Linked DNA regions of Drosophila melanogaster. The protein of the gene in region 3 interacts with the protein of the main gene of each other region in a pairwise test. Each region holds a gene or a part of one and is shown on either strand. Other genes may lie near its edges. The genes, in order: CG1648, bves and sll.

What was found.
Region 1: the proteins of sll (region 3) and CG1648 interact in a two-hybrid assay, tested with the Drosophila melanogaster proteins (one large-scale study listed by BioGRID).
Region 2: the proteins of sll (region 3) and bves interact in a two-hybrid assay, tested with the Drosophila melanogaster proteins (one large-scale study listed by BioGRID).

Annotation. Positions count from the first base shown.
Region 1 is NT_033778.4:9,810,757-9,814,511, forward strand, and holds CG1648 (uncharacterized protein), read right to left. Parts: upstream 2,019-3,755; 5' UTR 1,993-2,018; coding exon 1,968-1,992; intron 1,909-1,967; coding exon 1,726-1,908; intron 1,213-1,725; coding exon 722-1,212; 3' UTR 563-721; downstream 1-562.
Region 2 is NC_004354.4:21,052,385-21,056,139, reverse strand, and holds the start of bves (bves), read right to left. Parts: upstream 2,178-3,755; 5' UTR 1,818-2,177; intron 1,595-1,817; exon of another isoform or gene 1,398-1,594; intron 1-1,397. Other genes in the region: Stt3A (catalytic subunit 3A of the oligosaccharyltransferase complex), read left to right, coding at 2,430-2,529, 2,914-3,242, 3,341-3,730.
Region 3 is NT_033777.3:17,604,166-17,607,920, forward strand, and holds the start of sll (slalom), read left to right. Parts: upstream 1-1,940; 5' UTR 1,941-2,164; intron 2,165-2,212; exon of another isoform or gene 2,213-2,219; 5' UTR 2,220-2,353; coding exon 2,354-2,400; intron 2,401-2,461; coding exon 2,462-3,515; intron 3,516-3,755. UniProt on the Drosophila melanogaster protein: Mediates the transport of adenosine 3'-phospho 5'-phosphosulfate (PAPS), from cytosol into Golgi. PAPS is a universal sulfuryl donor for sulfation events that take place in the Golgi.

The DNA.
Region 1 (3,755 bases), on a different chromosome or scaffold from region 3:
AAAAGCGAGATAAAACATGGATACCCTGTTTTCAAACCATTCAGCGTTCTATCCCACATGTAGGTGGCGCTATTTGCGCTTGCAGCCGAAGTAAATTCAGTGTGGCCAGATTACAGTATTACCATACATCACCATTTGGCGCTAAATTGAAAATGAGTTAATAAAAGTTTCAGTAATAATATAATCAACATAACATCAGTATATCCAAATATATACATATAATACGCTTTGCTTAGTGGCACCCCCACCAATTGAAAGACCACAAATCTCATTCGAATCCAATATATTAAAAACACATTTGCAATGTGTTGTGCAAGAGTTAAAGGTACTTAATCATACATCTCTACATAAACAGAATATACGTATATTAAAAGCATACTCAGCGCAGCTGTATATAAAATATCAAATGCCTCAAAGTAACAAAATTCGGCCGAAGAAGAAGAACGAAGGGGTTAATTACACTTTGTACGGATACGGACAGAGGATGTGCTGAAATGCTCACATCGAAAGCAGCGGCTGCAAAATAATCCGTCCGCGCGATATTCAAAAAATATGTAAATATATATATATATATATATTGTGTATATTCAATTGAGGATTTAGCAATCACATTACTGGCACTCGTTACATTGAAGCAAATTCCTTTCTATTTTTTTTGTTTTTGTATCTAAAGCATTTTCACATCAAGATATTTTAGGTGGCACCGCGAAGGGAGACGCCTCTACTTCTGACCCAGATGCAGCTTGCCCAACAGGGCGTTGGCCTGCTGTCCGGCAGACTCCTGGGCCTGTCCGGCCGCATCCTGGACGGTCTTCTCGACGGACTGGCGCTTCTGGTCGACATACTGGTTGGCCTCCTGCAGCTTCTGGTCCACCGTTTGACTGGTCTGCTTCAGTGCCCCATCGATGGCGCCCTCCGCCTGCTTCAGCTTCTGGTCCGCCACGTTCTCGGCGGCCTTCACGCTCTTGTTGATGGCGTCGTTGGCCGCCTTCTTGGTCTGGTCCACCGCATTGGCGGCCGCTCGCTGGGAGGCCTCCGCCACATTGGCCGCCACCTGCTTGGAGTTCTGGGCCACGGCCGCCGCCTGGGCCACCGTGTTGTCCACCGCCTGCTTGCCTTGGTTGACGGCTCCGGCGGCACGGTTCACACCCTGGTCAATCGCCTGTCCAGCCTTCTGAGCCTCCGCGGTGGCCAGAGCAGCGGCTTCCTTGGCTGTATGATAAAGAGAGATATTAGTGGGAAAAATTCTTACAAAATATCTTTAAAAGTGCTCCTAAAGATATTTATTGAATTGGTCGGGCTTTGCTCCAGCATAAAACATAGCATTGATGTTCTGTTTAGTTATAAATCTCTAGCACATTAAATTGCTTTTCACAATTATAGAAATATTTCAATATTTATGAAGAAATGTTTTCAAAAATGCGAATCTTATTCTTGGAAACATGTTTTACGTCAACGCGTCACTAAAGAATTCCATTTATTAAGTTCTCTTGTGTTTGATATGCTTAAAAGATTTGCGTTTTAGATAAATTGGAAATGGAATGCTAATGAGAAAACATTTTTAGCAAGAACTGAAAGTTGATTTTGAAAGTTATCTCAAACGGGACTCATTCAATTCTTCGTTGCAAGAGTTTTTGGAAGTCTTTAGAATTAATAACTCCAATTAATTCTCTAAGACATCTTTTATGTGTTACATTCATTATTTTTTGGATGTTCGTTACTCACCCGTGCTGGCGGCCAACTGCTCGGCCTCGCCCTTGGTCTGCTGTACGGACTGGCCCACCTTCTTGGCCTGCTCCTCGGCTAGCTTCTGGGCCTCGGCAGCCTTCTCGTTGGCCAGCTTCTCGGCCTCATCCTTCTTCTTGCTGAAGAGGTTGGCGGTCTTGTCACCGAAGTTCTTCAAGGAAGCTGGGGATTGAATGAGGAGTGCATTTTAGATCCTGACTGTGCTGGCTGGATGGGATTACTTTGGTTTTGGCGACTAGGAAACATGCTGACTGGCCCTCTGAATGCTAACTAAGCTCTGGCCTGGCGCTAATTATAATTTATAGCCTGATTGCAATCAGCAGGGTGGAGCGCCGATCAGATCGAAGATGCGAGATTTGAGATTTCAGATTCCAAATTCCAGACAGGTAATTGCCGAAACATAAACAAAGCAGCTGGAGCATGAACTATTTACATGACTAAATCGGATCGATTAGACTGGGACACTTTCCTATTAATAGAAACTGCGCAACTAGGGGCTGTTGAAATCGTGATCGCCAGCCCCATGGCGTCAGCCTTAAAATTCGAGACTTGAGACTTATATTCGCAATTTAATAGAAATTAACGAGCGCCAGCTTTTGCTGTCCCCTCGAATCTGCATTCACTGGGAGTGACGTGTGCGTCCACTCAAATAGAAACATTGTGCCGCTCAACTCGGAACCGGGTGCGAATCGGTTGGGCGAAACGGAAACGGGCGGAAATAGCCGAGGAATTTCTTTGTAATATACAGTATGCTTGTATGCGAATGAGGCAAACAAAGCTCGAGTATTCAAATTATTCGGCGTATGTGATGTCATAATGGGCAGCCGGCGAATGAAATCGCCCCCAAGTTTCTAGTGCGGTCTATTCACGCTTTCTGATTGTGATCGGGAATGTGTTTATTCTGATTCGGTTCTCTCCGCAGAGATACTTTAATGGCCCCATACACTCGGCTCATTTCCAAATAATTTAGTTTCGGCCAATTTCGCATTTCGCATTTCGCATTTAATGAGCCAATCGCCACCGCAGGAGCCGAAAATTGTGCGAAAATAATAGTTTCTATTCTACGCTTGCTGGGTATCGAGATTATGGAATGTGTGGGCTCGGCCGAGGTGTTGAAAATTACTTTTACTGCTCAAAAAAAACAGGGTGAATCAAAGGGAATTCAGACATTTCAAATGCTAATGGCTAATGGCTAAGGAATGTATGTATGTGGCATTGGACTTGCTTAACAATCTAGAATCTAGAATAGCAATTTAAGTGGAAGGAATCGTGCAATCTACACTGTACAATATGTAACTATATGTATAGAGATGCATGCTAAGTATATTGTGCTGTTTTCCAAATTAAAATCGTATTTAAAGATACTTAAAATACATTCGTAGAATGATAAGTTATTAAACTTAAAAAAGGTGGCCTTACGTATAAGGCAACCGCAGTGTTTAATATTCCCCGCCAAATCCTTTGGATATATGTACATATATATCTTAATGGCTTACACACGCGGAATTCCTAAGGCCAGCGGCCCTATTTAAGGCATTTGCGTAATACGACGCATTTTGTTCTTCAGTCTTTATTCAAAACTGTGGCAACTTGTGGTCAACACTGAAAACCGGCTAGAAGCATGGCCAAAAGGTAACACAATAAGCCCAGATTCTCTCACAGCCTCTGGCGTCGTTTTTGTTTTGGTTTTGGTTTGGTTTTAGTTTTGGATTTTGATTTTGCTCTCTGATTTTGTTTTCGTCGATGTCGCACTCGCAGCTGAAATAATGCGCAGAAGCCTCGGATAGAGGAAAACCTGTAGCTGTAGCTGTAGCTTGGGCTACATGGGAACCCAGCTCGGAACGGACACACATACGGGCATGGAACGAATATCTATGAGTTACTGCGATTTGAGGTCTGCCGACTCACGTTCCACACCAGTTCTGGATGCCTTAAAAAAAAGAGCTACAATCCGTGATGAATCGATGGAGCTACTGGGGCCGCCGTTGTTGTTGCCATTGCTGATGATG
Region 2 (3,755 bases), on a different chromosome or scaffold from region 3:
TTATCGGAATGCTGCCTTAGGTGCGATATCAAATGGCTTTCAGTTATCCAACTGTTTGGATTTAGATAGGTTTTTAACTTTACGGTTTGTTTAGACTTAGAGAAGAATTTGCAAAGCAAAGCAATATGTTATTTATACATATATGTAGTTCTCAGATTTTTCTACCAAAGAATATTATTCTCAGTTCATAGCAAAAATACGCACCAGTTATTTTTGAAATGCATAATTATTTTTTGAATAATTCGTTCGTTATTTTTGGGCTCTCATTTGAATTATGAGACTTTTGAATTGCATAGCAATGTCTTTATTTATCGCCTCAGATCTTTGAAGTGGAATTCGGGAATTGGAAACTCATTTCAGAGCTATTCTCCCCACTGATAAAGTATTTTTGGACCCAATATATTTTTAAATAGAAATTTTAAAAACGAATTTCATCCCCATTTTCCCCTTCTTCATGTAGTTTAGATCTTTGGAAAGATCGTTAAGTTGGAAGTTACGAAAGCAATTCATCCCAATTGGGTCTCAAAATCGGAAATGAGAATGTCACTTCATTGATTTTTTCCTAATAGAACACGAGTCTAACTTCTTTTGTTGCAAAATATTCGATTTTTGGGAGCTTGGATAATAATAAATAGTAGTTCCCCGATCTTCTCTCTCTCCCTCTCGTTCTCTCGCCTATAGGCACACAACTTCCATAAATATACGCACACACAAACACACACACATAGAAGTTGCATGCCAGAAATGCCATGCAAATGCAAACACCCACATACACACATTGAGAGAGTGGGTGGGGTGTGAGTGAGTGGTGGGCCGAAGGAGGAGAGAACGAAGAAGCAGATGCAGAAGTTGGAGTTTGTTGCTTTTGTTTTCCTTTTCTTCCTTTCCCCTACCCCCCTTCCACGCCCTCCCATCATACATTCGATTTCCTTCTTCTTCTTCTTGAATGCGTGCTGGCAACTGCAATCGCTGCCTCTGCCGGCGTCGCTGCCCCCACCCGCACGCACACAGTGACGTCCCGATATATACACATACATAACACATGCATTTTTAAAAGCGTGTTGATGTTCGATTTTTCACCATTCTTGCTGCACTTTACACACAAACAAACACTCGCCATCGTTATTATTTAATTACTTTTGGCGCGGCTTCAATTAAAAAAAAAACAGCAACAACAACGCTGCAAGTAAATACACACACACACAATACATATGCAAATATCTATGTATATATTGCACATAACAAAGCTGCCACTAAAAAAAATCAACGATTTGAACTAGCAAATCTCATACACGCAAATAGGAATGGGCTTGCCCATGTATTAGTGAGAACAATTTCTTAAATATTTGACACGTGAGTTTTTCATTGTTTTAGGTACAAATTTTTCTTCTATTTACCAGCAGAAGTCAACTTGTATTTACTCCGATTCGCGTTTTTTCGGGGATTTGGTTCTCGTTTCGATTGAAAATACATATATTTCGGATATGTGATAACTATCAGTAGTTTTTCAGTGGAAACCGTGATTTTCCTGCCCGGCGATTCATCCGATGTTTTCTTGTCATATTTTGTTCGAGATTTTTTTAAAAGGCAATGAAAACACGAAGCAGCGGTGCTTTTATATGGGAAATATATGGCAATTTAAACGGCTGTAGCTCGCTCTCTCTCGCCCTCTCTCTCACTCGCTCTCCCGCAATGAAAACGAATTTCGTGGTGCACAGTGGTCGCAATTGCATACTAGCTGACAACTTTTTAAGATTGTTTACATTTCCTTGATTTATCTGAAAATTGTTACATTTTTCTTTTTTATTTGTGCTTACGGTTGCTTTGGCGTAGTTGACATCTTTGGTCTAAACGTATTTAGACAACTTTTGGTAACTTTCTAAAAAATAATAATCGTACCCCACTGTGTGGTGGTTGAAATGTGTTTTTCGCTCTCTGCTCACTACTCGTGCTCGCTCCCACGGAGAGTCGAAAACAGCTGGGATATAAGCCCAGGAACAGCCGGTTATGAATTGCCGATTCGAATACCAGCCGTGCTTTTGATGACTCACTAATAGTAACTAATCATAAATCGAGAATTAACTGCCGAATAAACCGCAAATAGCAGCCAAAAGAAGTGGTTAAAAGGGAAACAATAAAACCCGCCAGCGGTCAGAGTTGTCACCCCTATTACCGATAGACCGGCGATAGCACGCGATAATCGATAGCACTCTCCGCTCTTTGCCACGAATTGCAAGTTTGCGATCCCGTCGCATTCAAGTTTCAGCCATTGTTTTGTGCAAAAAGCTAAGTAATAGTGCTTCGGTGGGGCAAAACAAGTAATCCTGGACATCCGGAATTCAGTCAACAACTCGCACCGGTGACTTAGGGACTCTTGCATCGAATTAAGCAGCGCCGAAAAAAAGCCGGCAGGCGGAAGAGCAAGGAAAATGACGCTGGACGTGGGCGGCGTCGCCAGGGGACTGCTCACCTGGGACAAACAGGAGCACCTGGTCAAGCTGGCCATTCTCATCCTGGCAGCGGTTTTATGTGAGTAAACAGCGCTTATTCGGCATTAGCCGAGTGGGCGTTGTGAAAAGGTCAAACATTCGCATCTGCTGCGAGCTTCTTCGCTATCGATAGCTTGATGTGCCGCCGGCACTTTATGGTGAAATTACCCAGAGCATATAATGGCTTAGTTACGCAATGCAGCACTATTATTCCTTATTTCCTAGCTTATAAATTCCTTGATTTGCATTTGAACAAATGCATAGCTATAAACATCTTCCGATTGCCATGTTGTAGAATATCAACTTGCCAGCCCTGCTAGAATATCGATAGCTTGATACACGCTGGCATGTGCCATCACTAGCTGCTGGTCTTCCTCTTGCCATCGCCGATTAAACTTCCTTTTCCTCTTGCATTTCTGGACAGCATTTGCCACACGCTTGTTCTCTGTGCTGCGATTCGAAAGCGTAATCCATGAGTTCGATCCGTACTTCAACTACCGCACCACGCGGTTTCTGGCGGAGCAGGGCTTTTACAAGTTCCACAACTGGTTCGATGACCGCGCCTGGTATCCCCTGGGCCGCATCATCGGCGGCACCATCTATCCCGGGCTGATGCTCACCTCGGCGGCCCTGTACCGCCTGATGTGGCTGCTCAATGTGACCATCGACATACGGAACGTGTGCGTCTTCCTGGCGCCCTTCTTCTCCTCGCTGACCACGCTGGTGACCTACGCCCTCACAAAGGAGATACACGTAAGCCACCGTCCCACCGTTCTTTACTTTTTTTTTTATATCCTTTCGAGGTTAAAATTCGCACGTGGTTCTTATGATCCCCCTTTACCCCTTTTTAGAGCACTGGAGCTGGACTGGTGGCCGCCGCTTTGATATCCATCGTTCCCGGGTATATCTCTCGATCCGTGGCGGGATCGTACGACAATGAAGGCATCGCCATTTTCTGCATGCTCTTCACCTACTATTTGTGGATCAAGGCGGTAAAGACGGGCACGATCTTTTGGTCGGCTATGTCGGCATTGGCCTACTTCTATATGGTCTCCTCGTGGGGTGGCTATGTCTTCCTGATTAACCTAATCCCGCTGCACGTGCTGGCGCTGATGATCACCGGACGTTTCTCGCACAGGATCTACATAGCATACAGCACGCTATACTGCGTCGGCACCATTCTGTCGATGCAGATCTCGTTTGTGGGATTCCAACCCATCCAGAGCTCCGAACACATGCTGGTGAGTGTAACTACTTTGTGTAATG
Region 3 (3,755 bases):
GCGACCTTGAGCAGAAGTAGCGCACTTAATGCAGCCGCAAGAGCAACCCCTAAATTGCCAGCAGCCGCAAACAGTGGTGTTCACGATAATAAAATCACAGCAACGAACTACATATACTTATTAATGTAATAATAATTATTTTCTTTAAAAATAATACGAATCTCAAACTTAACTAATAAGAATTCACTGAAAGAAGCCAAAAAATATGCTATGATGTCCTATGCTTCCTAAATATATTCCCGAAAGGGTAGAAATCTATAATTTGAAATGCGCTGTCCCCCCAAATTTTAAACCTGATACCTTTTCAACATCAGGATTCGTATTTAAATATGAAAATTAATAACTTGTGCTACATTTCTAGCCGCAACTGTGAGTTAAACCCACCGGGGTGGGTGCATCAATGTAAAGACGTAGTAATGCCGCTCCCGCTGGCCGTTCTGTTCGCCTGGTGCACTAAGGTTGCTCCTAGTTACGACGTAACTGTTAACCGGTTTGGCCCGTCGGCAGCGCTGCTCCTGCATGTTACCGTTATGTAATGGCCTCGACAATGGTAACGTGAAAGAACCCATCCCACTCGGTGGGTGGGCCAGCGGGGCAGGCCGTACGCTTTACTCCGCCCCGTAGATCACGCCCTAGTGGGGTGACATGCGCAATGGCATCGAGTGGCGTTGGGTTGCCCACTGCGATTCCTGGTCGCCTGGTAATCCTTGGGCGTTACCTTAAGAAGGGTTAAACCGCTGATGGACACGTGTCTGTCGAGTTGAATGTGCTGCCGCTGCTGCTGCTGCTGAGGTTCTTGGCCGCGTTCTTGGCAAAAATCACAAAGAGCCAGTCCGGCGGTGCCGTACTCGTTTTGGGCGCCACCCAGTGCCCGTACTCGCTAATTGAAACGCTCCGCGGGACTCGGAGGTTGCCGGTGCCTGTGACCCACCCACTTGGGCGGGCAGAATCGCGACCTGCCATCCACAGGGGCGTAGTCCGTGCCATCGTGTTCCTGTGCCAGTGGTTGTCAGTGCTGCATAAGTTCTGGCTGGAAAGTAGACAGATGAAGTAAATTTGATTACTTTTTAATATAGTGGTATGTACATTTTATAAACAGATAATTTTAAATTCCACAAGTTTTGTATTAAGATTTCTCAAAATAATTATTCATGTAAAATTGATTTGATTTTAAATAAACCTTCTCATTATTTGTTTTATTAGGTTTTTAAATAGCCAAATCATCAGCACTAGGGGTTGCACAGCCATCGAAACCCACCCCTAAAGCAAGGAATGGCAATGTCAAGCGACACACCCCTCGCGCACGCACAGACACACGCACACATGGACAGGCAACGAGTCCTTTCGATTTCATTACGTTCATTATGTGAGGGGTGTCCTCTGAATCACACATTCCACACTCCTCCTGAAATTGATGTGCGCCTGGTATTAGACCTCAAGCGGAATTTCCTTTCGTTTGATTGTAAGTTGTGGGAACGTGCAACAGCATGTGTGATGAAATTCAATTATTAAAATATTACTATCTTACCATCTATTATTACCATCTTATTATTGAATACAATAACTAAATATTTTTGTATAAGTTAAGTAACTTTTTACTTTTGTTAATTACCAGTTTTATTATTATTATTTATAACTAGATACAAAGAAAACAGCGATAATTAAGCTTATCTCGATAGTTATTACCAGCGATTACAAATTTTCCAATTGGTTTTAACAAACAGTCCATCCCTCTTATAATCTATTTTAACGATTTAAGGCATGTTTCAAGGCTTTTAATATGCAAAAATGCACAAAAACAACAAATAAAATTACTAATCCGTTTCATACAAAGAACAGCTGACAAAAAAAAACGACCGAAACCTAACGGTAAATAATTCAAAAGATTAGGGAATACCCCAAATGGTATTTACTTTTAGACCGTGTGGTATTTTCTATCGTTATCGGCGCGGTCATACTGGTAACGTATTGGTTACTATTATAAAATATTTGGCAATCTCGTTCTACTCGCTGGCGGCCAAATAGCTGCAGAATGTTTGAGCAGCTGGCCTGAGAGCTAGTGCCGGCTGCCCGAGCCTAGTACCCCGGACGTCCAGAACATCTTGAAGCTCCAAACGCACCGCACGCACATCTGGCAGCCGATTGTAAACAAACTCGGGATATGGTAATTAGATGATGCCGATTTGGAGTGTGCGAATCATGCAAAAACTAGTTTTCAGAGCCGCGCCGGTTGTTGAACTCTTGACACTTGACTGGTAATAGATTATCGCCCGCGGGTTCAATAGGAATCGGAGAATCGGTCGAGTCAGCAGCACCGGGCATTCAAACCGAGAGAGCCAACGAAACGCGCCACATGTACGCCTATAATAAGATGGGTCGGGTTCCAGAGCTTGTTATATGGTGAGAACCCAACGAAGTTGAAAATCAAATTAAACTAATCCCGCCCTTAAAATCTGAACAGCTCCTTCATAGTGGTCACCCTGCTTGTCATACACTTCTTCTCGGATCTGCTGAGAGCCTCCCTAGGCGGCTACTACAACCAGGATGTTACACTTTCCCAGCTGGTTGAGTCGCAGAACTCGGACTACGCATGGTTCCTTAAGCTGCTGGTCAATTGCTTTGGTTATAGCTGCGTCTTTGTGCCGGGCTTCTTGATCTACAAATATGTCGGCAGGATTAACTACCTGGAAAGAGGCAACAAGACATTCCTGCACAAGGCTATCAATATGTGTATCACGGGTAACTCTGGATACGATCAGTTGGATGCAGGGACCAGCACCGCGGATAAGGATCGTCCGGCAGCCTCTACGGCACCAAAGCGAACGAGTTCCCAGGAGGCCGTGCAACTATTATGGTGCTTTGGCGGCCTGATGATCTCCTATCTTACCTGGGGTGTACTGCAGGAGAAGATAATGACTCAAAACTATCTGAACTTCACTGGAGAAAGTGCCAAGTTTAAGGACTCTCAGTTCCTGGTGTTTTCCAATCGTCTGCTGGCCTTTCTCGTGGCGCTGGCCTATCTACAATGGCAGCCCTCACCTGTGCGACACCGTGCACCTCTGTACAAATACTCCTATGCCTCCTTCTCGAATATAATGAGCGCATGGTTCCAGTACGAGGCCCTGAAGTTTGTCAACTTTCCCACCCAGGTGCTGGCCAAATCGTGTAAGATTATACCCGTTATGCTGATGGGCAAAATCATGTCTAAGGCAAAGTACGAGAGTTACGAGTATGTGACGGCCCTGCTCATATCGCTGGGCATGATCTTCTTCATGAGCGGCTCCTCGGACAGCAGCAAGGCCAGCGGAGTGACCACGCTCACGGGCATTTTCCTGCTCTCCATGTACATGGTCTTCGACAGCTTCACTGCCAATTGGCAGGGATCGCTCTTCAAGAGCTACGGCATGACTCCGTTGCAGATGATGTGCGGCGTCAACCTGTTTTCCTCCATTTTCACTGGAGCCTCGCTGTCCATGCAGGGAGGATTCATGGACTCCTTGGCATTTGCTACAGAGGTAAATATATATAAAGATATCAAGCTCTCAATTTATGATGATATCCATTTTAATCAAAATAACGTAGCATGTTCTGAAATTGAAAGAATATTTGATTTGTTTGTGTTTTGTGGTTTGTGATTTGCATAACCCAAATTGCAAAATTATAACAAAATAACAATAGATTTTAAAAATTTAACGTTTTTTCAAGTAGCTGATATATGTAAGACACCAGATGGTACTTTCTCACTGTTTTTTTGT